Linked DNA regions of Mus musculus. The protein of the gene in region 5 interacts with the protein of the main gene of each other region in a biochemical or structural test. Links are inferred from orthologs where the notes say so. Each region holds a gene or a part of one and is shown on either strand. Other genes may lie near its edges.

What was found.
Region 1: of the proteins of Uba6 (region 5) and Ube2d2a, one has a biochemical effect on the other in vitro, tested with the Homo sapiens proteins (7 studies listed by BioGRID, with this or other methods). The link is inferred for Mus musculus from reciprocal best matches to the Homo sapiens genes UBA6 and UBE2D2.
Region 2: the proteins of Uba6 (region 5) and Ube2d3 form a complex in vitro, tested with the Homo sapiens proteins (2 studies listed by BioGRID, with this or other methods). The link is inferred for Mus musculus from reciprocal best matches to the Homo sapiens genes UBA6 and UBE2D3.
Region 3: the proteins of Uba6 (region 5) and Ube2t form a complex in vitro, tested with the Homo sapiens proteins (2 studies listed by BioGRID, with this or other methods). The link is inferred for Mus musculus from reciprocal best matches to the Homo sapiens genes UBA6 and UBE2T.
Region 4: the proteins of Uba6 (region 5) and Ube2g2 form a complex in vitro, tested with the Homo sapiens proteins (2 studies listed by BioGRID, with this or other methods). The link is inferred for Mus musculus from reciprocal best matches to the Homo sapiens genes UBA6 and UBE2G2.

The regions. Positions count from the first base shown.
Region 1 is NC_000084.6:35,797,546-35,803,708, reverse strand, and holds part of Ube2d2a (ubiquitin-conjugating enzyme E2 D2), read right to left. Parts: intron 3,869-6,163; coding exon 3,837-3,868; intron 3,758-3,836; coding exon 3,680-3,757; intron 3,600-3,679; coding exon 3,494-3,599; intron 2,436-3,493; coding exon 2,342-2,435; intron 1-2,341.
Region 2 is NC_000069.6:135,437,740-135,441,925, reverse strand, and holds the start of Ube2d3 (ubiquitin-conjugating enzyme E2 D3), read right to left. Parts: upstream 2,801-4,186; 5' UTR 2,152-2,800; coding exon 2,128-2,151; intron 1-2,127. UniProt on the Homo sapiens protein: Accepts ubiquitin from the E1 complex and catalyzes its covalent attachment to other proteins. In vitro catalyzes 'Lys-11'-, as well as 'Lys-48'-linked polyubiquitination.
Region 3 is NC_000067.6:134,959,833-134,966,683, reverse strand, and holds the start of Ube2t (ubiquitin-conjugating enzyme E2 T), read right to left. Parts: upstream 4,120-6,851; 5' UTR 3,898-4,119; intron 1-3,897. UniProt on the Homo sapiens protein: Accepts ubiquitin from the E1 complex and catalyzes its covalent attachment to other proteins. Catalyzes monoubiquitination. Involved in mitomycin-C (MMC)-induced DNA repair.
Region 4 is NC_000076.6:77,619,941-77,626,758, reverse strand, and holds the start of Ube2g2 (ubiquitin-conjugating enzyme E2 G2), read right to left. Parts: upstream 4,439-6,818; 5' UTR 4,386-4,438; coding exon 4,343-4,385; intron 1-4,342. UniProt on the Homo sapiens protein: Accepts ubiquitin from the E1 complex and catalyzes its covalent attachment to other proteins. In vitro catalyzes 'Lys-48'-linked polyubiquitination. Involved in endoplasmic reticulum-associated degradation (ERAD).
Region 5 is NC_000071.6:86,136,707-86,142,869, forward strand, and holds part of Uba6 (ubiquitin-like modifier-activating enzyme 6), read right to left. Parts: intron 5,767-6,163; coding exon 5,699-5,766; intron 4,921-5,698; coding exon 4,842-4,920; intron 3,731-4,841; coding exon 3,650-3,730; intron 1,189-3,649; coding exon 1,111-1,188; intron 1-1,110. UniProt on the Homo sapiens protein: Activates ubiquitin by first adenylating its C-terminal glycine residue with ATP, and thereafter linking this residue to the side chain of a cysteine residue in E1, yielding a ubiquitin-E1 thioester and free AMP.

The DNA.
Region 1 (6,163 bases), on a different chromosome or scaffold from region 5:
AGAGAGAGAGAGAGAGAGAGAGAACACAAAGAATAGAAATGTGGGCTGGAGAGATGACTCACAGTTATGAGCACTGGCTGCTCTTTCAGAGCAGTTTAATTCCTAGCACCCACATAGCAGCTCACAACTGTCCATAACTCCTATTCCAGGGGATCTGACACCCTCATACAGACATACATGCAGGTAAAAGATTAATGTACATAAAATAACTCAGAGATCGCCTGTCTCTGCTTCCAGGCAATAAATTTTATTTTAATTTTTAAAAAAGGTTTATTTATTTCATGTATGTGAGTACATTGTTGCTGCCTTCAGACACACCAGAAGAGGGCATCAGGTCCCATTACAGATGGTTGTGAGCCACCCACCATCCGGTTGCTGGGAATTGAACTCAGGACCCAGAAGAACACTCAGTGATCGTAACTGCTGAGCCATCTCTCCAGCCCATAAATTTTACTTTTTAATTTTTAAAAATTTTTTTTCAAGACAGGGTTTCACTGTGTAGCTCTGGCTGTCCTGGAACTCTGTAGACCAGGCTGGCCTCAAACTCAGAAATTCACTTGCTTCTGCCTCCCAAGTGCTGGGACTAAAGGTGTGCGCCACCACTGCCAGGTTAAGAAATTTTAAATTCAGCCAGAAACACGTGATTATTAATGGTACTCAGACATAAACAAAACAAAACTAAGAATTAGTGTCCAGTATTCCCTACTGCTGGTGTAGCTTCATTAAACACTAACATTAACAACAAAACCAAAAACATCTATGATTTCTCTGTTGTTTTTGACTTTGGGCCTTTTAAGATAGCTATCATCCTGTTGTTTAAGGTGGCCTCAAATTCATAGTCCTCCTGCCTCAATACTCTGCATATATATATGTGACTTTCTTTTCTTTCTTTTTTTCTTTTCCATGGAGACAGGGTCTCTCTATGTAGCCCTGGCTGTCCTGAAACTCACTATGTAGACCATGCTAGCCTTGACCTCATAGTCATCTGTCTGCCTTCCAAATACTGGAATTAAAAATAAAGACGTGCACCACAACAGCCCAGCTTGTATCTATGACTTTTTAATACAACAGATTCTAATCGTGTGTAACTTTTAATTAATTAACTAATTAATTAATTAGCTAATGAGAGACAGGATCTTAATCTGTCTCCACTTCACAAGAGCTGGAATCAAAGGTGCTGGCTACCACATTCAGCTAGTCTTTTATGTTTTTAACTCAAAATCTAGTTATGTATGGTGGGAAAGGTATAGTGGCATGTGCCCTTTTCCTGGGGTAAGAGGTGTTCAAGACAGGGTTTCTCCACATAGCCTCAGCTGTCTTTGAACTCAAAAGTCTGCCTTCTCCTCCCTCCTAAGTGCTGGGATTAAAGTCCTGTGCCATCACCAGCATGTGCCTTTAATCCCAGCATTGAGAGGCAGAGGCAGAAGGATCTTTCAGTTCCAGGCCAGCCTGAGCTACACAAGAAATGCTGTCTCAAAACAGCAGGGTTAGAGAGATGGCTAAATGGTTAAGAGCTGTGACTGTTCTTCCAGAGGTCCTAAGTTCAAATCCCAGCAACCACATGGTGGCTCACAACCATTTATAATAGGATCCAATGGCCTCTTCTGATGTGAAACAGCTACAGCGTACTCATAAATAAATAAATAAATCTTTAAGGGGGGCAGCCCCCCATATTCTATATAGTCCCGTCTTAATCTCATCAAGTAAGACACAAAAGCAAAAATGACTAGACCTCGAAGTCACTTGATATCATGATCATTCTTGAGTAAGTCATACAGTATACAGTTCTAAATGCCTAATTCTACATCAAAACTTGTTTTTAAAAGATTTGGCACCTTTATGCCAAATGGTAGTAAGGTCAATTATCTTTCTCATTAATTTACCAAACTATATGTAAGATAAATAAATGAGAACCTGATGTACAATAATTCACAAGTCTAAAACCAAACAAGACACAAAGGTATTAATAAGTACTGTAAGGAGAAGCTGGGCGTGGTGGCACATGCCTTTGATTCCAGCACTCGGGAGGCAGAGGCAGGTGGATTTCTGAGTTCGAGGCCAGCCTGGTCTACAAAGTGAGTTCCAGGACAGCCAGGGCTACACAGAGAAACCCTGTCTCGAAAAGTACTGCAAGAAAGGTTTTTAGTAGAAGTTACATTAGACAACTATATATATGAGATTAGTATCATCTGTTTATAATATATGATATAGAAACCTGTTTCATGTACCCCTCAGAGAGTTTATCTTAAACTTTTAGTCTATATTTAACTCTATAAGTAACAAGTTGTAAGGCAGCTCTATCCCATGCCTGAATGTTTTTTTATCTGGAGGTGATACTTACTTTTCTCTATCTGTTTTGTAGATCCGAGCAATCTCAGGCACTAAAGGATCATCTGGATTGGGATCACACAACAGAGAACAGATGGACAAAAGTACTGGGATAGTAAAAAAAAAAAAGAAAAAGAAAAAAGTATAGGTTAGTAGAAGACCACAGCAAAAGGCTTAAACATCAGAAGCTGGGCATGGTCTTTAATGGAAGCACTCAGGAGGCAGAGGCAGGGGAAAAGGTGGATATCTGCGAATTCAAGGCCAGCCACAGTGGTACAGTAAGACCCTGTTTCCAAGAGGAAAACAAACAAATCACCACCAAAAACCCAACCTGATATGCCAACCTGAGATAAGAATATAGAATTATGAATGCAGGTAGCTTAGTGGTGGAAAGCTTGCATAATGTGCATGAGGTTCTGCTCTGAAGAACAAAACAGCTCTTCTAAATCCTAGATTGAGAATACACATCAGCACTAGCGAACCTCAATTTTTAGAGGCTCATATTCAGAGAAAATCAGCTGTCAAATTTCCAACAGACAAGAGTAGTTGTCTGACACAATCAGTCATACAGAAACTTCAAGGATAATCTGGGGCCAGGCGTGGTGGCGCACACCTTTAGTCCCAGCACTCGGGAGGCAGAGGCAGGCGGATTTCTGAGTTCGAGGCCAGCCTGGTCTACAAAGTGAGTTCCAGGACAGCCAGGGCTACACAGAAAAACCCTGTCTTAAAAAAAAAAAGAAAAAAAGAAGATAGTCTGGGATATAGGAGATTGTCTCAAAAATAAAATAAGTTTTAACCAGGTACAGTAGCTCACACTTGTAATCCCAGCACTGTAGATGCTAAGGCCATCCTGAACTACAGAGTAAGACCCTGTCTTAAAACAAACAGATAAAAATCAAACAATCACATCATTCATTTTCTTTTAAACAAAACAAAACAAAAGCAAAAACAAAAAAGCCCCAGATAATCTTAAAAAGTTAAGCCAACAGAGAACAGTAACAAAGAGCAGTTACTTTCCCCTTTGAGACAGGGTCTCACTATACAGTGCTGGCACTCAGAGATCTGCTTGCCTTTGCCTCCACAGTGCTGGTATTAAAGGTGTGCTCCTCCATACCCTGCACAAAATCAGTTATTTCACCTTGTTATCAAACAACCATTCCATTACCTTTTGAAATAGTTAGTGCTGGAGACCACTGTGACCGTAGAATATCAAGACAAATGCTGCCATTACTGTTAATATTTGGGTGATAAATTCTTGTTGTAAATGCAACCTGAAGAAAAAGAAATCTTTGTGATTTGTTTACCAGTACCATACAGAGCATCTTAAGAGCAATGATCATATACCATTTACCTTAGGCGGTTTGAAGGGGTAATCTGTTGGGAAATGAATTGTCAAGAAAAATACTCCACCCTGATAGGGGCTGTCATTCTGTTGATGATAAAAAAGTGATATTAAAAATGGATAAATTACTTGAAACAATTATTAAGGAATTAAAGTGAATACTTACTGGCCCCATTATTGTAGCCTGCCAATGAAACACTGAAAAAGAAGAAAAAAGGGTCACCATGTTAATTAACAATATTCACATTACACCTACGATAGAGAAACCTATCATTTCCTATATCTAATCAAAGTTTATTTATAAATAGCATGATAACGACTAGTTTCAATGGGCAGGATGAAGACTAAACCAATTGAGTCCAAACCATTAAAAGAAAAAGGAAGGAAGGAAGGAAAAAAACCAGATAGACAGAGACAGAGTGAGACAGACAGACAGACAAGTGAGCAGGGTGTGGCAGTGACTGCCTTTAATCCCAGCACTTGGGAGGCAGAGGTAGGTAGATTTCTGAGGCCAGCCTGGTCTACAGAATGAGTTCCAGGACAGCCAGGGCTACACAGAGAAACCCTGTCTCAAAAAAACAAAAAACAAAACAAACAAACAACAACAACAACAACAAAACAAAACCAAAAAACCAACAACAAAATGTAAGCAAGACACCGTGACATTTACATTTAATCTTAGTACTTGGGAGGCAGAGGTAGAAGGATCTCTTTGACTACAGAGTGAGTGAATGCCAGACCAGTCCAAGCTGCCTCCAAATAAGTAATGAAAATAAATTATGATCTCTTGTGGGTTTTTAGAGTTTCCAGTATATCCTTCAATACAGAGCTGGGGGGACATGAAGCATTTGCCTGGCATATGTTACTCTGGGCTGGATCCTCAACCTTACTTTAAAATACAAACACACAAAACACAAATTTGTTCATAAGCTATAGCGATAATTTCAAAGTACTCAATAAAGTAACTACCTATAAAAGCAGTAAATATTTGTCTCATTTCTAAAGTGGGCTTACTCAATACAGAGACAGAGAACAAAAGAGTTTGTAAGGAAAATCCAGTCAATATCTACACCAGAGAGAGACACTGCCAGTATGAGTTTATCTACATCACCCAACCAAGCTAACTCTTGTCACACGGGATTAAACTGTTAAGAGTACAGCTACACAAAAATTTATTGGGATGTATAAAAACTAAAGGTCCTTCAAACTTCTTCAATACGTAATTGTTTATGGTTTCTTTTACTAGGCCCCAAACTCACCATTAGCAGCTCATTTATCAGAAAAACATATCTAGAGTCACCATACACATTTTAGAAGGCATCAAACGAAAACAGTGGTTAGATGCCATAAAGTAAGTAAGTAGAAATGCCTCTATGCAGGCAGATTTCTGAGTTCAAGGCCAGTCTGGTCTACAGAGTGAGTTCCAGGTCAGCCAGGGCTATACAAAGAAACCCTGTCTCGAAAAACAAAACAAAACAAACAAACAAACAAACAAACAAACCCAGGAGAGTCAGATGGGCATTGTTCTCAGCACTAAAGAGGAAGAGATACAGAGGTCCAACCTCATCTGCACACACAGTTGAGACCCTGCCTCAAACCAAACACCTAAAACATACATACATACATACATACATACATACATACATACATACATACATACATTTGAACAAACAAAACTCCAAAACCAATTAACTCTAGAGCCTCTACTAGGTAGTAATGATCAAATGGGCAACTAGATCTCTTTTAAGTCTTGTCCTTCAACCTAATCCTTTCATATTCAATTTAAATCTATTGTACTGTCAGTTTCTAAAAATCAGATTAAAATAATAATAATTAAATAATAATTTCAAAATATTGAGGTTTCAAGTATAAAATTTTCTAGTAGCTAAGTACTAATTCTTTGTTTCTAGTCTTCTGACAGCAATCATTTATTCTTGCTAAAAAAAAACTTACTAAACTTAAGAAGAACTTAAGCCGATGTTGTGGCTAAATGGTAGAAGGTTTGGCAGGTGTGAGGCTATAGATTCAACCTCTACTATTGCACACACAGAAAGAAGGGAGAAAAGGAGGCTGGAGAGATGGCTCAGTGGTTAAGAGCACTGACTGCTCTTCCAGAAGTCTTGAGTTCAATTCCCAGCAACCACATGGTGGCTCACAACCATCTGTAATGGGATCTAATGCCCTCTTCTGGTATGCATGAAGACAGCTACAGTGGACTCATATAAATAAAATAAATTAAAAACATTTTTTTGAAATGTGGGTATTGCATACACGTTCCACAGTGTATGGAAGAATGGTGGTCAGAGTACAACTTTCAGAGTCAGTTCACACCTACAACCACAGGTTTAGAGATCAAACTCAGTAAGTGCTTTCTTTTAACCCACTGAGCATCTTACTGGTCCTACTTCTGAGAATCTTTACTACCAACAGCAGTAAGAATACTCACTAGAATCACTAACAGGTTTTCCTCTGGAGTCTTATTATACTTCTTGT
Region 2 (4,186 bases), on a different chromosome or scaffold from region 5:
CTCATGACAGTGTCTAACTGGCCCCTTATTTTTAGAGAAGTAGCCTTTCAAAAATTATGCCAGCATTTGGGTGCTTTTTTTTGTTTTTTAAGCAGCCTCATGATTCTGACAATATCTGAAGGAAAAAAACCCGATATGCTTGAAATCAGGTTGAATCAGCCATTTGGTACATCAAGTTTTCGAATATAAGAAAATTTACCTGTGAAGTATCAATACATAATTCTTTAAACTTGTAAAATCTGTTTTCCCTTGCCATCCCAGTATATAGAAAAATTCCTGGTATAGATTAGGCAAATGGATAAACTTGCTTAGAGCCTGATTCTATCTCATGTTATTTTACTACAAATGTTTACACTTAACCATTACTGCCTTGCTAGAGCTTTTAAGTCATTAAAATGGTGCCAGAGCAGCTGGGTATCACCTGTAAAAGAAAAAAATCAGTAAGACCTCCCTTTAAAATGTTCTGTTTTACACTTATAAGAAGCTATAGATCTGAATTTTGATTAGCACTGAATGTTATAGTCTCCATATTAGTTATGCTGCAAAGCACAACAATGCATCTCTAAAAAGTGAGGTTGACCCTCAAAACTGTCACACTAAGTGATAATTTTAATGTTAACTTCTATTATCTATTTGAAGTCTTGAATACTAAGGTTTTCTTTCTCTTTGCATTATCATCAAGAATACAAACAGTTAAGTGTTTTGCATAAAACTACAAAGATTACCCAGAGACAGAATTTAAGATTTCAACATCAATATATACAGGTTAGACTTAACTTCATGAACAGCTTTTCCAATCAAACTGATCAAGTTATACATACTAAATAACTACAAATAAAGTAGTATTAGATCCTACCAGTCATTTTAAGTCCTTGCCTTCCTTTCCACAGAACTCTTTAAAAACTGTGTTACTAAGCCAAAGTTTCTAATACCGAACCTTCCCATTTTGTCTTTTCTATTAAGACTGAGTTTATTCTGCACAACATTTTTTTCAAGTTAGCTGTAAATACTCCACCCTCTCGATTGTGAAAGAACCAAATACAAAACACACACACACACACACACACACACACACACACACACGCACAGAAACTTAGTCTGAGAGTTTGAATTTAGGTTAAGTCTTGGGGGCAGAGGCTGTGAGAGCTCCCTACAACAGAATAAAAAAACGTTTAACGCTAACAGAGAACATTATCTTAAATAGTTAGAAAAGGAGATGCCGGAAAGAACCCGAGCCAGTTAAAGCAGCCGCCATCTTAAAATGCGGGATAGAAGTTAGAGCAAGAAAATGAGACTAAACCACCGGAGAGGTGGATCCACTCGCAAAATATTTCTGAAAAAAATTCTAGTTCTTGCCAACTTAAATTGACAACTTATCAAACTATATCGATTTGCTCAAACAAGCCTCCTTAAAGATGGGTTTTAAGCAAAAACAGTCTCCCCATCCAGTTTCCCTGCACTGTCAACCCCCACTCCCCCCAGGATCTTTCAGAAGGCTTTTACAGGGTTCCCAGTGCCTCAGATAAATAGCTTCGGGTGAGAGCAGCGACCACACAACACAGGAAGTGGCAACAGTGTCGGTCCACCTCCTCCCAACCCTACTTACTCTTGTGTAACTGCCCAGATTTGGTTAAGCTTCTGAACAGACTTCGTCACCACATTTTAGCGAACTGAGGTATGTTTGTCATACCCAGACTCTCAGTCAAGTTTGGAACAAAACGTTTTTCATCTGTTACATTCCTTTCTTTTGAATGCCAATAAGCCTTAGCAGCTGTAATAAGTTTTGAAGAACCAAGACTAGGAAGCAGCACCATGACATTAGCCGAGGGCCTGTACACAATTCTACTTCCCAAACCTGACTCTTAGGCAAAAAACCGAGGAGCCTAATAGCCACGCTCCCTCACCCATACTTACAGATTCTAGTGAAAAAAGCTAACATTTCGCTTACCCAAACCATTCAGTTCCCTATCTTACAGCTCATTTCAAAGTGCACCTGCCTTTCCTTAACCCAAGAAAAGGTATTTTCAGAATTGTATCCACCACCAGACCCACGCTTTTTTTCCTCTGGGCCCCAAGCCTCCTTTCTTCCCACAACCCTGTCCGCACCATTTAGTCCAAACTGCTCACCTTATTAATCCGTTTCAGCGCCATAGTCTGTGCTTTTCGCCGGGCTCCTCACTATCCCGAGGTGTACTCAAAGGTCCGGCCAAAATTCTTGATTATCCCGGCGGCGGGGAAGGGTTGTCTCTTCTTCTCACACCGGCTCTGCCAGACACAGGCGCCTTTTTGCAAAAACGGAGCAGGTCAGCGACTCGCCAGGGCCTCGGAGAAACCCTGCTGACTCCAGAACCCTGAAAACCGCCGCGATCCCGGCAGGGCGGGGCGGGGTGGCGGAGCCACCAGCTACCGAGATCCGCGCTTCGCCCCAGAGAGGGCGAGAGGGTGACGGGAAGCGCCGAGAGGTGGTTACAAGTTTAACTTCCCGGCCTCTTGAAAGGAAGACGAGCCCCGGGTGGGAGAGGAAGAGGCGGAGGAGAAAGGGGTGGGTGCGGGGCAGGGTCCAGAGCCGGGCAGAGGAGGAGCCGGGGCCTAGTCGGCGCTAGGCCGGCGTCACTCGGGCAGAGAAAGGCAAGGGGGAGGGGAGCGGGCGGCTCCGGACCGACGCCGGGCTCCTTTCGGTTTCGGCTCCAAGGGACAGCGAGCCAGCACAAGGCAATGGGCCCCGGGTGCGCTCCCGTCCCCACGGCGAGGGCTGTTCTGGGTCGCCCCTGACACCACCGTACTCTCCGCCTCGCAGCGCGCTCCTGCGTGCGCGCGCCCGCCCGCTCGCTCGCCCGCCACCTCGCCACCACGCGCCCGGCGGCCGCGGAGCTCCGGCGCGAGGACGCGCCCATGCCCCCTCCCCCTGCGGCCGGGCCCCGGCTCCGCCGCCGGCCTCTCCCCACCCTACCCCACCCAGCCGCGAGGGCTGCCCGCTCGGGCCGCCCACAGCCCCCCGGGCACCGCGCCGGCCCCGGCCCGTCTCCCTCCCCTTTCCCGAGCTGTCCACACCCACGCGTACAGAGGGCCGGGGCCTCCCTCGAGCTGCGGCCTCGGCCTCCTCCCCGCGCGGCAGCTGGTGCCTCCCCGGCCCTACGGGGCTCACGCGCACGGCACAGCCACAAGATGTCCGCTCTGACGGAACTACTGCCAGCTGCCACGCTCCGCCCCTCCCCCCGCCTATTCACCGCCGCGTATCCGTCCGCCAACGCCGCCGTCGCGAGCGCGGGGCGAGCCGAGGGGTTCAGGGGGGAGCGGTTTGCTTCCCTCGCTCGGGCCGAGTGGACGTGCCGCCCGCTTGCCGTCTCCCTGTCGGAACAGCACCTTCTCGCTAAAGCGATCGGAGGTCGGGCCGGGAGGGCGGGGGACGGAGGCGGGTCATGGGCTGAGGGGGAGGGTAGGCGAGTGGCGGAAACCCTTAAATTCAGAGAAGCATCGAGAACCGGAAGGAGACCTTAGGAGGAAGGTAATGGAAGCGGCAGCTGCGCGGTCGAGGCCCCACGCCCCTCCCTGAGTGGCCCCCCGTTTCCTCACTTGGGATGGAGGTGGCGGATCTCGCGAGAACCTCGTGGCAGGCTCGCAGCAGCTCCGGGTCTGCAATGACTTAAGGGCAGTTTTGTGCTCTCTTCCTGGCTCGGGACCCGCCCCCAAATCCGCAAGTTATCGCGAGATGCGCCGGCAACCCCCCCCCTGGGCTCTTACTGGGCGGGTCTTGCGAGGGAAGCACCGCCCCTGAGTGCTTATGCTAGTGGGCGGGGGAGGAAATGGAATTCCCCCGACCGGCCGGCCGTCGCGCGCCGACACGGCCCTCCCCCGGGCGTCCAATCGGGGAGGTGCTGTGGGCGGGGCCGCGGGGTGACTAGATGCCTTAGTCAAGGTGGAGCCGGTTCACGGCTTCTGCCGGCCCAGGTGATGGAGATTTCTTCCCGTGCTCCTCAGAGAGGGCTGAGCAGCGCGAAGAAGCTCCCCTCAAATTAGGAACAGCAAATTAAAAGATCCAGGCTGAGTGCTGATCGCACCGCCAAGTGCGGACACATGCGCGTTGTTAACCCCGAGGGGCCAATCTGAGAGCAGCGGCCTGCAGGGTTCTGCGTTTGCATAGCCTTAACAATACAGCTTTATTGTGATCGGATTGGGTAGAGCCTTA
Region 3 (6,851 bases), on a different chromosome or scaffold from region 5:
AAATAAAAATAACTAAAAAACAAAATTTTGTTCTTTTTACTTAAATATTTTGGCTATCAGTAACTGTTTTTTGTGCGTAGTAAGGGGTAGAAGGTCCAACTTTAATCCCCCCCAACACACAAATGAGTAACCAACTGTCCTAGCACCATTAAAAAAAAGAAGAAAAAAAAGGAAACTCCAAATCTTCTAATATTATCATAAATTAACTTTCAAACATGTGGATCTGTTGAGTCTTCCAGATTTGTTCCATTCATCAGCTTGGATATTCTGAATCAAACCCTAATGTTCCAGTTACCTTAGCTTATTTCATTTTTAATGTAAATTGTCTTCAGTTCAGGGGCTGGGGATATAACTTAGCGGAAGAACATTTGCCTAGTATGAGCAAGACCCTGCACTACTAGATGTATGTGAGGGGTAGGAGAGGGCTGCAGAGCAAACCAGTCACTAGGTGATATTGCACATATTATGCTGGGCATGGGCAGGACACAACAATAATCTCATCAATTGGAAGGCTGAGGCAGGAAGATCAGCAACACACTGCCATCCATGACTATATAGTTTGAGGCCAGTAGTGTATGAGAACTTGTGTACTTAAAGCAAACTGAAGGAGGAGGATTACTCTAAGTCTGAGGTCAGCCTGGGCCACAGGGTGGTGTTCCTCTGTATTAGTCAGTTTTCTCCTTGCTATAACAAAATCCATGACACAGGAGACTCAAGAAAAGGTAGTGTCTATTTTGGCTCATAGTCCGGGGATACAGTCCAGGGTAGTGGAGCTGGCAAGACTGCAGGACTAGGAGGCAGCTGGTCACCCTGCACCTGCTTCAGTCAGGCAGCCACGTTTTTCTTTTTACTCAGTCTGGGACCACTGTCTGTTTGATCCCACCTATATTTATGGTTACTCTTCCCACCTTAACTAAGTCAATCTAGGTATGTCCTTTACAGACAGGCCCAGAAGTCTGTCTCCTAGATGATTCTATAGCCTATACTTCAGTTGACAATATTAACCATCTCACCCTGTAGTGGTATGAATAGCTTTGGCCTCCACAGGCTCTTGTGTTTGAATGCTTGGCTCTCAGGAAATGGCACTATTAGGTGGTGTGGCTTTGTTGAAGGAAGTGTGTCACTGTGGGAGTGGGTTTTGAGGTCTCCAATGCTTAAGCTCCACCTAGTGTGGAATTCCAGTCTCCTCTTGGCTACCTGCAGAAGACTCTCCCACTGCTGCCTTCGGATCAAGATGTAGAATTCTCGGCTCTTCCAGCACTAAGTCTGCCTGCATGATGATGCCATCAGGATAATGGACTGAACCTCTGAAACTGTAAACCAGCCCCAATGAAATGTTTTCCTTTTATAAGAGTTGGGCTTGGCCAGGCATGGTGGTGCACACCTTTAATCCCAGCACTTGGGAGGCAGAGCCAGGCGAATTTCTGAGTTTGAGGTCAGCCTGGTCTACAGAGTGAATTCCAGGGCAGCCAGGGATACACTGAGGAAACCCTGTCAAAAAAAAAAAAACCCAAAAAACAAAAAAAAAAAAACCCAAATCCGGTCCCATATTCTTCTGCCTCAGCGACAACAACCCCCCAACCCTGTATACTAAAAGTCCATCACGCCCAGTCCTGTTTATTGGTTTCTGACTGTGTTATTGGTTTCTGACATATTATTTATATCCTTTAAAACTGTTGAGTCTTGCTCAGAATGTCCTATGTGTGCTTAAAAAGGGAGACAATCCAGTTGTTAAAATGCTTGATATATATTTTGCAGACCTGAGTTTAATTCAGAAACCACATAAAAAGTGGTGTGAGGGGGGCTGAGAGATGGCTCAGAAGTTAAGAGCACTGACTGCTCTTCTGAAGGTCCTGAGTTCAAATCCCAGCAACCACATGGTGGCTCACAACCATCCATAATGAGATCTGATGCTCTCTTGTGGTGCCTCTGAAGACAGCTACAGTGTACTTACATATAATCAATATAATCAATCAATCTTTGGAGAGAGTGAGGCCAGAGAGAGCTATAATAAATAAATAAATTAAAATAAAAAAGTGGTGTGAGAAGGTGCATGAGTATAATCCCAGCACTTGGTTAGGGGAGAGAGAAGACAAATAACTCTTGTTAACTTGTCCTTTGACCTTCCCACATTTGCTGTACTGTGACACATACACATAATAATAATGAAATAAAAAAATGTATTGATTATATATACAAAAATCTAATTATTAAATGCAAAACAAAATATCTCCTCAGCTACACCCCATTACCCCCCCCCCAAATAAAGGGGAGGACTACTGAAAATTCTATACCAGCCTGGTCTACAAGGCAAATTCTAGACCAGCCAGGGGTACATATAAGATCCTGTCAGAAAAATAAAAATAAAATAAAAATAAGAGGGTGCTGGAGCAGGGCCACTGATTAAGAGCATTTGCTGTTTTTGCAGAGGACCTGGGTTTGATCCCCAACACTCATATGGTGTCTCATAACCATGTATGTGGTGCACATACATGCATGTATGCAAAACATTCATAATACAACATAAAAATAAAATTAACGGGTCCTTTGACTCCCCTTCCATACCAGAGAAAAATCTCAAAATAACTTAATAACTTAATTTACAGTGTTTTGATTCTTAACTCTCTCTGTCTCTCTAAGATAGGGTTTCTTTTTGTAGCCCTAGTTGTCCTGGAACTCAATTTGTAGACCAGGCTGACCTCAAACTTAAAGATTTGCTCGCCTCTGCTGGGATTTAAGCCATGTGCTCAGCCTCTATCGTTTTAAGCCTAATGAAGCCTTGTTATTGGGGGTGGGGTGAGGGAAGCATTGTGTGTGTTGGGTGGGGGGGCAGTATTTGGCTTACACTTCTACATCACAGTATACTGCTGAAGGAAGAAGGCAGGCCAGGAACTTAAACAGGACAGGAACCTGGAGGCAGGAGCTGATGCAGAGGCCACAGAGGGCTGCTGCTTACTGACTTTCTCCCCATGACTTGTTCAGCCAAAGCATTGCTATTTTATACAGAAATCTGAAGGACTATTTTCAGTAAAACGAAACAAAACTCTTGTAAATACAGGGGACTAGAAAAACAGTTCAGCGGGTTAAAGCCCTTGCTGCACAGGCCTGACAACTTGATTCAATCCCAGCAATCCACAGTAGGAGAGAACGCTCTCCTCAAAGTTGTCTTTGGGCAATCAATTACAATAAAACTACCTACAACTGTAAACTGTATCTTTATATAAAATAAGAACATAGTGGAAAGGCATGCTAATCAAATTAGAACGAGGGGGAAAAAGGCAGTTTCTCTCAAAGAAGCCATGAGACTATGATAACAATTGGTATATACAAAGTCTTCTCGGGTGAGAGATGGCTTAGCTGTTAAGAGCACTGGCAGCTCTTCCAGAGGACCCAGATTCAATTCCCAACATCCATCTGACATCTCATAACTAACACCGTCCTGTGCCTCCGAGGGCACCAGGCATACCCGTGGTGTGTATACATACATGCAGACAAACACTCATATACAAGAAAAGTAAATAAAAAATTAAAAAGTCCTTTGGTATAAAAGCCATGTGTTATCATGTATTTTATGAATATAAAGGGTTTTCACAGAGCCGGGGCTTGGGGGCATAGACACTGGAGGCGCCTAGGTAGAAGTCAGTTCCAGGTCAGCCTGGGCTACAGCGACACCTGTCTCACAAACAAAACGAAACCCTCAACCAAACAACCATAACAGAGTTCCTTACACTACGGCTTCAAAAGATATTTTCCTTTTAATTTTTTTTAAACCGGCGTTGTTAGCCTCTTTTCCAGTAACCACTCCCCGCAAACGTAAGCTTTTTACAACTGCACTGACTCTTCGTAAAATTCTTTGTGTCCCAGGCCTGAGGTAAATAAATAATCAATGCACAGAACCTGGGTAGGTGGCAGATGCTGGAGGTAGCCTTGGCGCGCCCAGGGCGGTTCGCTCTCCCCGCCGTGTTCCTCCCAGGGCCGCTCGGGTAGAAACGGGACTCCTTCCCCAGACTCTCCGTGACCTCGGGCTCGTTCCCTCAGGTGGCACTCGCAGCACCCGTCAGCAGCCCCACTTACCGCGGCGCGCCTCTGCTGTGCTCACGCGGAACCGCGGAGACCGTTGGAATGACTCCACCCCCTTCCAGGAGAGGACTGTGATTGGTCCGCAGCAAACCTGGGGGAGGCGCGCGCCCGCCTATTGGCCACCGCTCAGAGCTTGCGTCCGCTCACGCACCGCTCAAATTGGCGCGCGCACGCGTATCCGGAATTCTCAGTTCCCGCTGTGGTCTTGTTTGTAAATCGACTGTGAGCTGGGAAGGCTGGGAAGTCATCTACAGGAGAGGAAAAAAAAAAGGCAACTGGACACGCTTAATCTGGAGAAGTGACTGCTGAGTAGCTGCCTTTATATCTTTGTTGTGGTTCTGTGGAACGGGGTCTCGCGATGCAACCCTTGCTTAGCTTGGAATTTGCTATGTAGCTCAGGCTAGCCTGAGACTCCTGGCACTCCTACGCAGCTTCCCAATGGCTACCAGGTCACCCAGGCTTTAAGCAATGACAGGGGAAACTTTACAACTTCATTTAAGATCAGTAGTCTAAAGATACAAGTTAGCCGAGCACGGTCGCGCAGGCATGTTGAAATAAAAAGGTGAGAATTTGAGACCAGCCTTGGGTACATAGATTTCCTCCAGATGAAAAAAGATTTTTTTTTTTAATTTATAATTCTGGTGAACAAAGCATTCCATCAGGACTCTGAAGAGTAAAGTGGATGGAGTAAATTTCTCCACCACTGGAAATGTTCATATGGAAGCTTCAACCTGTTAGGGGTTAACGCAAGAGATCCTCTGCACTGTGAGGAAGTTAAGGATTTCCCCCTCCCTCTCCCTGAAAACAAGCCCGCTCTTCCTACATACTGTGCCAGCCTTTGATCCCTTTGAGTCACACACCAACCACGGAATAAATGACTTTCAAGCGCTCTTCCACCTCTAGAAAGGTATTTTCTAAGCAACCAAGTGCATGATTATAGCCAAGTCAGCTTTGAGGGCACAGCTGCGAGTGCCAAAAGTGGGTAGTCCTTGGGAGAGAAAGGAAAGCTTAAGACCTGAGACTCAGCAGAACTGGAATTGGTTTCAACTCTGGGAACCCTGGGGGTGGGACCAGAAATCAATCAAGGAATCACCTTTCTCTTTCACTGCTCCTAGCTTTTTGTACAGCTCCATAGCATAGACCTAGCAGTCGGTCTTTCTGAACTTCGAAGCTAATATAATTTTGGCTACCGCGGTGATGTCTGCATTTAGTCCAAACTGATGTTAAGCTACAGCTGGTTCCTCATGGAGGTTTTTATGGTGTGTTTTGTCTTCTGGAGACCCTCAGACTCATTAGGACTCTGACTGACTCTGCTCTGGGCTTCCCCAATTTAGTTGTAGGACTGAGCCAGAGGGTAGATAGTGAATTCTGCAAACTTACAGACTTCTGAACGATAGTCATGCAACAGTCTGACGTGCTTTTCAGTCTGCTGTTGCGGTTCTGTATTCATGGTTAGGATTTCTTTGTTGCAGTGAAGTGTTTTCGCTTACCATTTGGGATTACTGCTTATTTTACTACTGCCATTCATACTATCTAATGATATCTAATCTCCTCAGCATCTTTTCTTGTCCCTACTCCGACAGTGACCGTATTAGTCCTGTCTTGAAATAGAAACTTCCTTGGATGGTTCTTTGAAAAACACAGAGTTAAAAATGTCTCTTAGAAATAGCACAGACCGTAATGAGTTGGATCAAAGGAAAGGAGGGAAAAGACAGAGAGAGAAAGGGTCCCATTCTATCGACACAGTTTCCATTTGTCCACCAGAGGGAGGTATGTTAACTGGTGGGAATAGAGGCCAACAAGAGTGCTCTAAATGTTATTTTTAAACTTTTAATTAATTAATTTAGGGTTTCTTTTTGAGACAGGGTCTCGCGATGCAGCCCTAGTTGGCCAGGAGCTATTTAGACCAGGCCGGCCTCATAGAGATCTGTCTGCCTTTGCCTACCAAGTTCTTGGCTCAAATGTGTGTACCCTAATTTAGGATTTTTTTTTCTTTTTGGCAAAGGCCTCATTCTAAACCCCAGGCTGTCCTCAAACTCACAACAATCCTCCTGCCTAGGTATCATCACTATTTATTTTATTTTGTTCATTTGAGGCAAGGTCCCATATAGCTCAAGCTGACCTCAAGGCCAGACTTGAACTCCCAATCCTCTTGCCTCTGTCTTCTAAGTGTTAGGATTATAAACATGTGCCACCATGGCAAGCTTGTCATTATCTTTAAAAGTAGAGTGTTCTAATGTTGCAATTAAAGTATGAATATGGAAAATTATTACTTGATAAAAATCTGGATTGGCCCAGTTATTTATTCAGTGGATGAGTGTAGTGTGTGGTATGTGTGGGTTGTGTCTACCTGAGTGTGTAGGTAAGCAGATGCACCTTGGTAGCTCTTCTGAGTCCGTCATGGTGGGGATCTTCCTCTATTTCTCTATAACCTATTCCCTGAGGAGAGGGTCTCTCACAGATCCAGAAGCACATTGAAGCCAGCAACTAGGCTGGCTGGCCTGCCAGCTCTCGTGAGTCACCATGTATTTCCTAGTGCAGGAGCTATCAGCTGTAGGTACAATCAGCTGTGCTTGGCTTTTTATGTTGGTGCTGGGGACTCAAACCCAGGTACTCATGCTTGCACAGCAAATACTCTTACCTGTTGAACCATCTCCCTAGACCAGATATTTTTGAAAATATTTTCTAAAATGTATTTTATTTGTACACAGGATTGTTTGTTTGGACTTAACTGGTAGTTACACATGTTTTATTAGCAGGCTGCTGAGTTT
Region 4 (6,818 bases), on a different chromosome or scaffold from region 5:
CATCAAGAAGCCAATGTTTAAACAGTGCAGCCTGACCATGCAATGGGCTATGACTCTATATTACAAAGGACACTGCTGGGCTGGGGAGACGACTCAGCAGTTAAGCGCACTGGCTGCTCTTCCAGAGGACCCAGGTTCAGTTCCCAGCAACCACACAGCAGCTCACACCTTCAGTTGCAGGAGATCCAACTCCCTCCTCTGAATTCTGCAGACACTAGGCATGCGCCTGGTACACAGACATATGCACAGGAAAAAGACCAAATGCACAGAATAAAATTAAAACCTTTAAAAAGAAAAGAAACAAGCCAGTGCTCCCTTGTCTGTGAATATTTACGTCAACAGAGGTCTGAAAATATCAAAATATCAGTGGAAATTCCCAGAAGTAAACAACCAATATATTTTCAATGGCGACTCAGAGAACTATAGTGGAATCTCACTCCACCCTGCTGAGCCCTGCCAGGACTTTTACACAACAGCTGTAACTGCCCGTTCTATTTCATCACTTGCTGCTGGAAGGGTAAGGGTACACTGCAGCACAGACAAGCTCAGCACAACTGTGCTGAGTGCAGAGGCCCGAAGAAGGGCGCACCAAGACTCCAGTGAGTGAAAGCAAATCGGTGCTACCTAGGAGGGGCAGGGGGGAGAAGGGACAGAGCAGTCCCAGGGCAGGGCGGGGCACTCCAAGGATGCTATTATTCACAGCATGGATGTGACACACTCAAACATACAGGATCCTACAGTCCAGCGAGAAAAAGTCAGCGCTGTGTAAAGCCTGCCAGAGGCAGACGTTTGGCAGAAAAGGCAGAGATGGCCTTTTGTGTATGTGAAAGGATCCCGCTGCCTCACTTGCAATCACTAACATACAGTTCAAGCCACCAGGATGCCATCTAACACCTACCAGACAAGGTGAAGACCCCAAGGATAACGTATGAGTGAAAAGCCTGAGCAGTAGCACACACTTAACTCAGCTGTGGTGGCCATGACACACACACCAGAAGAGCCACAGTGACCAACAGGTCAGCATATCTTGTAACGCCGGCTGCTCACACAGATGCGGCACGGCTCTAAATTATGCTTCCAATGCAAACCTGCACATGTCCACCAGGAGATTTTCAAATCTGCTCACAGTACTTCTAAGAGTCAAACTGCAAGTAACTTCAGTGTCTGCCAGGAGCAGAACAGAGGGATGCTGGCTTGTTCATAAAGAGAAATCCACTGAGCAAGGAGAGGAGGCTGCCGTCACAAGCTTCAAGAGAAAGGAAACTGACACAAGGCTGGTAAGAGCTCCCAGGGCAAAGCAAAGAACACACACACACACACACACACACACACACACACACACACACATATATATATATATATATATATATACACTGTACAACTTCTATTAAGACAGACAAACGAAAACCACACAGTGTCCAGAGACAGAACGGCAATAGAAAGAGAAAGAATGACAACTCGGTATGTCGCTAACTCTTGGTGGTGCTGGGAAGATGAAGACTCTAGGTCACTGTCCTGCTCTGCTCTGCAAGCAGGGTATCATGGACACCGAGTTATTCAGCTGGCCATCACTGTAACAAAGTGCCTGAGGAAAGTCACCTGAGATGAGAGAATGCCTGCTTATGAAAAGGCAGTGCATCATAGCAGGGAGCAGCAGCATGGCCAGGCAACAAGCAGGGGAGGCACTGAGAGCAGATCCTTAAGGGGAATGCAGGGACCCAGCCTTTCTACTTCTCCCGTGTCTGGCCTTAGGTGAACAGCTCTGCTCTGGTTCACGCCCCTACTCTGACGTGCTGCCTTGGTGGGCAGAGACACCTCCTGCCTCGTCTGACAGGCCAAGCTCGAAATTCCCAGGCTCCACACAGAAGGGAGATGTGACCCTTGTCAGTTGTCCTAACTTCTGCACATGCACAGTGGCACTCGCCTGCCCACCCACAAATACACAAAAACAGCTGTCATTGTAAAACAATCTCAAGTCTACCCCAATGTGGGAACTGTGACACTGTCTGGAAACAGTCTCAGCAGATGTACCAGAATTAAATACAGAACATTCTGACTAGGCTGGGCCCTAAGCCAGTGACTGTTGACATTTCAAGTGGAAAAATCTGAATACCGACACACCCAGGCTCAGATGGCCACAGGAAGGTACAGGAGAGGAAGGACTTACACTAGCACAGCTAAGTAACCCGCAGTAGCCAGCACTCTAGAGCTGAGAGGGAGGAAGGACCTTCCCCAAAAGCCCACCCTGCCTAGGGTGACAGCCCAGGCCACAAGTGGGCTTCTAATTCTATCTCCAAACCATGAGATGCTGTCTGTTATGGTATCTGAGTGGTGACAATGTTACAACAGCCCTGGACCACTGTTCCCTTGTCTGTCACAGTAAGAAGAAAAGCTGTGGAAACATATGACAAGGACACAAGAACACACACTGTTCTTACAGAGGAACCAGGTTCGAGTATTGGCACCCGTATGAAAAAGAGGCAGGCTTTATTTACCATGGGTGCCTGTAGCCCCAGAGTTGGAGGCAAGGGAGGAAACAGGAAGATGTCTGGGGCTAACTGGCTGGCCATTCTAGCTGAATTGATGAGCTCCAGGTTCAATGACAGGCCTGGTCTCAAGAGAAGAGGGTGGAGAGTGAGCGACAGAGTGGGACATTCAATATCCGCCTCTGCGTGCACAGGACACTGCACTTGGGAGCAGTCTAAGGTCTTCGCTTGGCTCTTTTTGTGATATGACCACAGTCTAATCGTTTTATATCTGTTATTCAACTGCTATAAAAGAAAAACAAGGAGCCTGAAAAACAATAGGGATGAAGAGATGACTCATAGATTTTGTTGCTCTTGCAGAAGATCCAGGTTCTAGTTCAGCACCCACACAAAGACTCACAACCAGCTGTAACTCCAGTCCCTGGGGATCTGATGTCATCTTCTGACATCCACTGGCACAGGCACACATATGACACACTTACCTATGTGTAATCAAAATACTCATAAAAATACACATAAAAAACACATTAAAAAAAAGTTAGACAATGAACCACACTCAAGGTCATATCGCCTCTAAATCTACAGTACAATCAGGTATGCAAGAACACCTTCGCTCTAGCCCAACCTCGGATGTTCTAATTCAACCTGGATGTTCCTGTTGAATCTACCTAATACTAGAGTACATGGTCTTAAACAGAGGACAAACCTTTTATACCATAAAGGAAGAAAAACACTCAGTGGGACTTTTATTGAATTCACAAGGACACGGAAAAAACCTCCCTCCCTCCCTCGCTCCTCGTGCTTTGTACTGCTGGATGCATTTCCATCACTGCTGCCACAGGCTTAAACAATATCCATTGATGACCTCATGGTTTCCATGTGGGCTTGGGCCCAGCCGAGACAGCTGGTTGTTTCAGGGCTGCAACCCAAGTCCATTCAAGTCGCTGGCACAACTCAGTTCCGTATGGCTGTAACACTGGTCCCAGACTAGCTGTCAGCCTGGGGCCACCCTTAGCTCCCTGCCCTTTTTTTTCCTCTTCCAAGAAGCCACAGCAGGTGGAGTCCTTCTCCTCTGTGAACCCCCTGAGCCCCTCGCCAGCCTTCCTATTTTAGAGTTCCCTCTTTAACCAAATTCCTTCTCTCTCTCACACGGAGATGATTCACAACCTTAACTTCAAATTAAGTGACAATACGTTTTGTCTGACGTACGAGTAGAGGCTTTTTGTGGCGGATAAGTTTTTCTCTAATGTGAATACCCTTGGGTAGAAGTGGTCAAAACTTAAACCCCTGTCCCGGAGCTTAAATGCTGTTCCCTCTTTTTTAGATAAAGGGGATGTGTCTCAATCTAGACACAGAGCTGAAAAAGTAAAACAGAGAGAAAAACAGATCCGGATCCAAGGAAACTGTCCGGAGCCCGTGTCCGAGAAACTTTGGTTTTCCCCAGCAACTCGCACCTGCGGCGTGGCCGGGGGTTTGAGGCGTTATCTTGTTTATTTTTAACTTTCTCCCCCAACTCCCCTCGACGGCTCGACCACCTTACGGGGATTACCCGGTACTCGCCCCGCAGCATCAACTGTCGGGAGGGCAGATGCGCAGCACACAGGGGCTTAGGGACCAGACCCGGGTGGCAGGGCCACGGCGGCGCTGCCCCGGCCGGCTTCTGAGCCCAGGGCCAGCCCCGCTGCCGCTGGCTGGGGTGCGCAGGTGACGGCGACAGCCTGGCCTTTTATCCGCACGCGGAATCTCGCAGCCCGGCCCAGTACCCCCGCACCGCACCGCACCGAGCCGAGCCATGCCGGGCCACGCCGCGGGCGACTATGGGGAAGAGGACAGGAAGGCGGCGCCGCCTGACTCACGCTTATACTCGGCCATCAGCCTCTTCAACGCCGTCCCCGCCATACCGCGGAACCTGCGTTCAGCAGCCTCGCCACATCCGCGCCGGTCCCGCCCGCCCGCTCCGACGCCCACGACTGCTTCCGGGTCGCGGGCTCCGGGCGCAAATGCATCCGGGGCGCGCGCGGGTGACGTGGCGCACCCGGGTGCTTCAGACAGGCTCGCTGGGGTTCGCCTCGCGCTCCCCGGGTAATGGCCCGGGTCGACGGAGCTCGGCTTCCAGAATCTTCTCGGCCGGCCACACCCTCAGCATTGAAGGTTTCCTACGCCGCCGTGAGGCTTTGCGCAGCTCGCCCTGCGGCCCTTTAGTCTTGAAAAATAGTGCGAGAGCTAATGGCTCATCATGGATTGTTCCTGAATGAGACTCATGTCCTTGCGCTTGGGCTCGCCCCTCAGAAGTGGCTGTCCAGATCGTGAAACTTTCCCCTTGTAGGCATGAATGTCCTAGAACTCATTATTTAGCCCAGGCCGGCCTCGAATTCACAGAGATGCCACCTGCCTACCTCTGTCTCCCAAGTGCCACTACACCTGGTTTTTGAGGCCCAGGTGATTTGAGATGACACTTCTAGCAAGAGAAAGAGTACCTTGGTTTCACAAAGGAAGGATAAAGTTCCCGGGCCATATCCCATCCTCTCTGGCCAAAAAAACTCAGACTCTGCCAAGTAAGCTGTACTTCCTCATCATACGGAACTGCCAGATAGATGCTTGGTATTTTCTTAGGTGCACCACTGCCTTCGCTAAGTGGACATGAGGGATACAGCTCGGGACGTGGCTCTCCGAAAAAAGGGGCTTTCAGGACTAGGTGTAGGGACAAAGAGAAAGTTCCTGCTGGGACCCTGAGTATAAGAAGCTGAACTCAAAAGATTTGAGGCATTAGATTCATCACATTTGTCGTTTTAAAAAAGAATATTAAGGGGGCTGAAGAGATGGCTCAGCGGTTAAGAGCACTGACTGCTCTTCTGGAGGTCCTGAGTTCAAATCCCAACAACCACATGGTGGCTCACAACCATTTGTCACGAGATCTAATTCCCTCTTCTGGTGTCTGAAGACAGCTACAGTGTACTTACATACAATAAATAAATCTTTTAAAAAAATATATTAGAGCCAGGCAGTGGTGGTGCACACCTTTAATCCCAGCACTTGGGAGGCAGAGGCAGGCCGATTTCTGAGTTCGAGACCAGCCTGGTCAACTGAGTGAGTTCCAGGACAGCCAGGGCTACACAGAGAAACCCTATCTTGAGAAAGAAAAAAAATATTAGGATGCTACTCCAATTACATGTAAGGTTAAAAAAAAAAAAAATCCCACACGCATAACCCTCCCAAGCATGCCCCACCCACAAGTCAAAAGGAGGCCTCGAGGACACACTGCTCCTCCTGCTGTTGCCTGTAGAAGCATAAGTTAGTCTAACACATCCAAATGATGTGGCAGCCCCGATTCCCTGCGACAGTTTGAATGTGAGTCGTGCCCACATGTTTGCTGGTCAGGGTGGAACCTCCACTAGCTGGATAGGGGTGAATTTTGAGATTAGGATTAGCTTAGTTTCTAGTTCTCTCTGCTTCCCAGTCAGCTACCCGGTGAGTAAGCAGCTGTCACACACTGCTGCCGCCTTGGAGCCACCTGCCGCCATGATAGACGGTATCCCCTCCAACCCCAAGGCAAAATTAACTTCTGTGTGTCGGGTATTGATCCCATCAGCAAGAAAACAAACTTGTAAAGTAGTACCATGAACTGAGGCCATCCCTGGGATGAGCCTGACCATGAGCTTCAGAGCTAGTTTGGTTTTGTTTTAAAGATTTTTATGAGTACACTATGGCCGAAAAAAAAAAAAAAGATCTATTTATTTATTTAATGTGAGTACATTGTAGCTGTACAGAAGGTTGTGAGCCTTCACGTGGTTGTTGGGAATTGAATTTTTAGGACCTCTGCTTGCTCCAGTCAACCCCACTGGTCAACTCTGCACTGCTGGCCAAAAGACTTATTATAAGTACACTGTAGCTGTTTTCTGACACACCAGGAGAGGGTGTCAGATCCCATTACAGATGGTTGTGTGCCACCCTGTGGTTGCTGGGATTTGAACTCAGGACCTCTGGAAGAGCAGTCAGTGCTCTTAACCGCTGAGCCATCTCTCCAGTCCCAGCCCCAGAGCTAGTTTTAAGGAGAAAAGTGGAAAACAGGTTCAGAGCTGGGAGCTAGAGAACTCTCAGATTGCTGTGAGCAGGGCTAAGAGGACGACTCTGGGGGGAATTTGGAAGACCAGAACACCAAGAAATGCAGGTAGCCTAGACTGCTCAGGGTGCTTTATCCCAGAGGTGAACATCGAACATATCAGAAACTTGGTGGTAACCATTTCACGTCACATCCTGTGGCAGGGCAACGCAGTGCAGTTTCCTCCATCTTGGATCCTTGCTGAGGCCATGTTCGGCTTAACTAGAATCTGA
Region 5 (6,163 bases):
AATGTTTATTCTTATTTTTAAATTAAAGGCTTATCTACCATGTGTCATTGAATCTTGTGTCATTCAGGGGCTATGAAGGTCTTCACAGCATCCTTTGAATTTGTCCGTCTCTTCTCACTATTAGGCTAACATGTTTTACTTTTTACTATAAGAACAAAGTCAGAAACTTACAAGTCAGGAAATTAATAAATAGGTCTTAGTGTTCATCTCCAGATACTACACAGTGAATCATTTTAATAAGACATCTGAGTTCATAGAGACTGCTGCCACATCCTTTGTAGTTATGCGAGAGGCTATCAGGTTAACTATGACAGTGTAGCCACTTTTTAGTTCATAACATGCTTAAATTTCATTTCCTAAAATCGACAATGAGTTGACAATACAAGGGAAAAATTTAAACTAAAAGCACGTGGTTTTGATGAACATATTCTTCTTTTCTGTCTTTCTTTTTTGGTTTTTCGAGACAGGGTTTCTCTGTGTGGCCCTGGCTGTCCTGGAACTCACTCTGTAGACCAGGCTGGCCATGAACTCAGAAATCCGCCTGCCTCTGCCTCCCAAGAGCTGGGATTAAAGGCTTGTACCACCACTGCCCGGCTTGTTTTTCACTGCAGTTTTACCATGTAACTATGACTAATAATACTCACTGTGTAGAACAAGCTGGCCTGGAACTTAAGAGATCCACCTGCCTCTGCCTTTGAGTGTACTGTCTGTTTCTTTTCCGGATTTAAATATTTTGGTTTGAGACGACTAAATAGTGTACAGCAATTTTTAAATACTAAACCTTACCTGTTTTATAGCAAAACAAACAACAAACAAACAAAGAAACAAAAAAACCCAAAAAAGTAGTGTTAAAATTTGTGCTTTGTTAAAACCTCGAATTAGAGAATTTGTTTATGGAAACAAATTTCTGTGATTACAAAATGAAAAGTACTACTCATGTCATGATTCAAATAGTAACATCCAAAAACCAATTTTAGTGTACATGAAAGATCATTATTTTCTTCATTTTGTTCTTTCCAAAGAATCTTTATTCTTTCTCTTAAGGATCTAACAAAGAACAGGATTACCCCGCAACCAATATCTGTTTATGATAAAAAAACAGTGACAAACCTGTATGTGATGAGGACGAAACAGGAACTGTCTGTTTAAATTGGATTTTTCTATCAAGTCAGGATCTGTAACTGTTACCTTATAACAGGAGAATAAAACAAATGAATCTATTTTGCATTTCTCACTATGACAGAAACAGCACTCTCAAAGCATTTTTGCTAGTAATAGTCATTTTAAAAAATTCCCAATGTTACCAGTAATATGGTATCATTGTTAAATTTATTAATTTCAACTAATATTTAGTGCATGATCATAGCAAATAACACAAATGATTTAAGCTTATTAGAAACTCCCTTTAAAAATTCTTTATTTGGAGACTAAAACTATCCCTATCATCTTTTATACCTAAAAAATGAATTACAGAGGAACTATCTCTTCTAAATTTATGACATTCATTCTTTTAAAAATTATTTATTATTTCCTAACTATTGTGTATGTGTGTGGAGGAATATGTGCCCATAGCATAAATGTGGAACTCAAACAACAACTTTGTAAAAGTCCTTTGTCTCCTTCCATGGGTGGGTTCTGGGGATCAAACTAAATCAGGTTTAATGGCAAGTGCCTTTACCTGATAAGCCACCTTGCTAGCCCAATATATATTCTTAATCTGAAATAATTTGAGAAGAATGTTGTCATGTTTCAACTTGACAGGAGTCCAACTAAGGCTGAATTTATAAACTACTAGGCAGTTCCAGTAGTTTTTGTATAGCCAACTAGCTATCATAGATAGTTGATTTAGAGGCCTAAAACACTTGCCCTTTAAGAATGTATAGATTGGGCTGGTGAGATGGCTCAGTGGGTAAGAGCACCCGACTGCTCTCCCGAAGGTCAGGAGTTCAAATCCCAGCAACCACATGGTGGCTCATAACCATCTGTAACAAGATCTGACGCCCTCTTCTGGAGTGTCTGAAGACAGCTACAGTGTACTTACATATAATAAATAAATAAATCTTTAAAAAAAAAAAAAAAAAAAAAAAAAAAAAAAAAAAGAATGTATAGATCCTATTTCTGGAAAGTGAAAGAAGAAAGCAAACAGGTAACATAATCTGCAGAATTGAAAACCCCTGTGCTATTAAGCTAGAATTAAAAAAAATGGCATAGTACTGCTCAGTGCAGGTTCCAGTTTGAGGTGTTGACTGGTGTTCACATTCATTTTCTTTTAGCAATTTTCCTTGTGTATGTGTCTACATTTTTGTGGAATTTTATGTTTCTCTCTCTCTCTCTCTCTCTCTCTCTCTCTCTCTCTCTCTCATTCTCTCTCCCTCTCTCTCCCTCCCTCCCCCTCTCTCTTGCGGGGTGCTGGTTAACAGTCTTACTTTCTAGTGAGTGTCTTTCTTTTCTACTTAAAAGCTTTAGACATTAAAAATAGAGAAAAAAATTGTATCTAGTGTTTAATTCAAGGTTTCATTTTTTCCCCCTTGATTCTAGGTACCTGGGGATTTCTCTTTACATCTTGGGTGTATCTATGAACACTTAAAGTTTTGTTACAAGTCTCTGTGTTCAGAATGACAGAAGCCTGCCCACATTACAGTCTTTACTTCAGCTCATCCTGACCTTTACCTACTAAAAGCACTGTTCTTCTATACAGTTAAAACATTCAGGTAATCCCAAGCTTACAGTAAAGAAGCGATTTTACACAAGAAAAATCCAAGTAACTTTTAAGCTACTAGACTCATAGTTTGTGGAGCACAGTTTAGAAATGCCAAGCATGGCTATGTGTACCTACCTACAGCTATAATAATAAATCCCTTTTAAAACTATATCAAGGCTACAATGTGGATTACCATATTCACTTTAGTTATTTATGCAGTGTCACTGTTAGTTACCAAGATAAATATATGAAGTCATTAATGAAAGTTTTTAATCTTAAAGGTAAAATACCACTAATAAAAGTTATTTTAAATATGACACGGTTTTGTAATAACTCAGGGTGAAGAATTTTAACTGCATACCAAAGTATGTGTTATTCTCACTATTTGAAACTCACCATTTAAATTATCTGAGCACTCTGCAGCTTGTTAATGTCATTTCTCATGTTAATATTTAAGAATGAATAATGTAACAAAAGAATAACATGGTTTTCAGTTTGTAAGCTATGATAATAAAAGTTCCTTTCAAATTTAATAATTGATGGTAACTACAAAAAGAGAGACAGGACTTATTTCAGGAAATTACAGTTAAGAACCAAGAAGCGGCCGGGCATGGTGGCGCACACCTTTGATCCCAGCACTCAGGAGGCAGAGGCAGGCGGATTTCTGAATTCGAGGCCAGCCTGGTCTACAAAGTGAGTTCCAGGACAGCCAGGGCTATACAGAGAAACCCTGTCTTGAAAATCCAAAAAAAAAAAAAAAAGGAACCAAAAAAAGAACCAAGAAGCAGAGAATCTGGGACTAAAAACTGACCAGAGACAATTAAAATCTTCTAATTCTCAGTTTAATGGTCTACACCAAGTAAAACAGGCTAGTATAGTTAAACACAGTTCAAAAATGGGCAACAGGAGAAATATAAATGTTTAAGTCTCAAGTGACTTGTATCTTACCATTCCTTTCTCTCTGCCTGTACCAACACCCAGTAATGCAAAATTTTTTAACATTTCACAGCCTATGGCACCACATCCTACCTATTGAAGAAAGAGTACAAATGTCAGACAACAATACTATAATTTTTAATGAATAAAGAATTTCATTCTAATTTTCATCAAATGCTATAACACTAAATACAATTTTAAAAAATGATTTGTGACTGACTTGTGGTGGACTTTACTTTTTACAAGTTTCATAATGCCTTTTAAGTGTCTCAATTAAAGAAAAAAAGTATAAAACAAATAAGAAAACTATGGTATTTATAACTTCTTCAAACAAAAATAATTGAAGATTCCTAACAAAAGCTAAATGCTGAACTTATTTCTTATAGAGAAAAGAAAACAGTAACAGAAGAAAAAGCAAAAAAAAAAAAAAAAAACATAAGAACAACCCGAGCCTGGAACTAGGTAACATGAAAAAGTCTTTACTTTTAGACACTTGTCAGTCTATCTGAAAGACAGAGATATGTTTAAGACAAGTCTACAAAGAATTTTAAGTAAAACAGATATTTGAAACCTGATTATATTCTATCTATATGAAAAAAAAAATCTCAGCAGTAATTGCTAATCTTTAAGATATTACTTTACAAAAATGATTACTGCCGGGCAGTGGTGGCGCACTCCTTTAATCCCAGCACTTGGGAGGCAGAGGCAGGCAGATTTCTGAGTTTGAGGCCAGCCTGGTCTACAGAGTAAGTTTCAGGACAGCCAGGGCTACAGAGAAACCCTGTCTCGAAAAACAAAAACAAATAAACAAAATTATGATTACTAAAAGTAGTATTTTTAAGACTAGCCAACAACATTTATGCTCTTGTGAAAATTTTCTCTCAAAATAAACTAAGATATTTAAAAAAAGAGAATACATTTACTCATTTTTAAATGTAGTTTCAAAAAATGTGTTTTTAAAGTACTTCTAGAAAACCATTTAATGTTGAAAGCTGTTACATTCATGCTTTATTTTGAAATGAATACTCTTCAGATCCTAAATTGACTAAGTTTTACGTAGGAGGACCAGGAAGTAAACATATTAAGCTCTGGAGATTGTATGATTTATCAGTTACTCATTTACATCAAGTTGACTTTAAAAATTAACTTGACATTCAACAACATTTTGAACATGTTACTTATTCCCATCTTCATTCACACTTACTAAGAAGATATTCAAATTTTGTAGCTTCTGACACAATGTATTTCCAATGCAGGCACGTATGGCATCATATCTATCTCCTCTGAAAAAACATTTACCAAGAAAACAGAAAGATATAAAAATACTATTGATTATTGTTAGTAACAATTTAATATTGTACTTTAAAACAGAATATACTTCTGAGCTTCTAAAGGATTAATGGACAGACAGAAGGATGATTCCCATCCCAGGAAGGACAGCGTGTGATGTTATCACTTTGTACCCAAGTATATGTAATTTAAATTTATCAATAGTTTATTTCTGTACTTTTCCATTTTTGTACTTTTCGATAATTTACATGCAACTAAAATCTGAGAAAGTTAAACTGCAGATAAAGAGGGACTATTGTATTTAAGAAAAAAATTATAAAGATCATAATATTTAAAAAAAGTTTTTAGAGGAATCTACAGAAGGGATTTGGAGTTATTAATTCATTTACACTGAAGGCAGAACTCTGGGTTCTGTGGTTTTCTGAGATAATGAAATCTCTAAAGTTTTAACTGATTTTGAATTTATGGCCTCAAATGGAAAGAGACTTATTTTTAAAAAAATCATGTATAGCAATCTTATTCATTAATATTATGGCTTTTGAATGCTAACCACTCTCATGTATATAAGCCGAAAATCTGTATCACTACATATAAAGTGGTAAAAAGACATAGTACTACTGCAATATTTAATCACTAGGCAAAGAAGTAACAAACCAAGAAGTAAAATGTCAGGAGGAAAGACACCTAAGAGAGGAATGCTTACACAAAATTGTTCTATCTCTGCTTCTTAAAGAGATACTAAGAAAAAAATAATCCAAGTTTCAGCTTTACCGTGGGAGAAACTCTTCATGCCCAGGATTGCCTAGGGATTCCACAGTATCTGCTGCTTCAAGGTACAACTGAAGACAAGATTAAAAACATAACGATTAAGACTTAAGTCACTAAAAAAACCCTGCAGCTTTTCTCTTATAGTTATTTAATAATCGTGGAAGATAATAAAAATGGCAATTCAATGTAAAGTATTAGAAAAATCATGGTTATAACATATATTCTTAAAACTGAGAAACCTAAAAGGACTGTTAAAGGTATGTAATTTAATTCATATCACTTATCAATCCTAAGGATAATTTTATTATTTTTTTTTAATATTTAGAGGAAATTTTACCTCAAAATCTGTTCATAACTACAAAAAAACTTTGGAGTTCCCATTCAATTTTAGTTACATTTGAATAAACAGTATGATTAGCTTGAAAAAAAGTATGTAGAGTGTATTTCCTACTGGAGATATTTTATGTC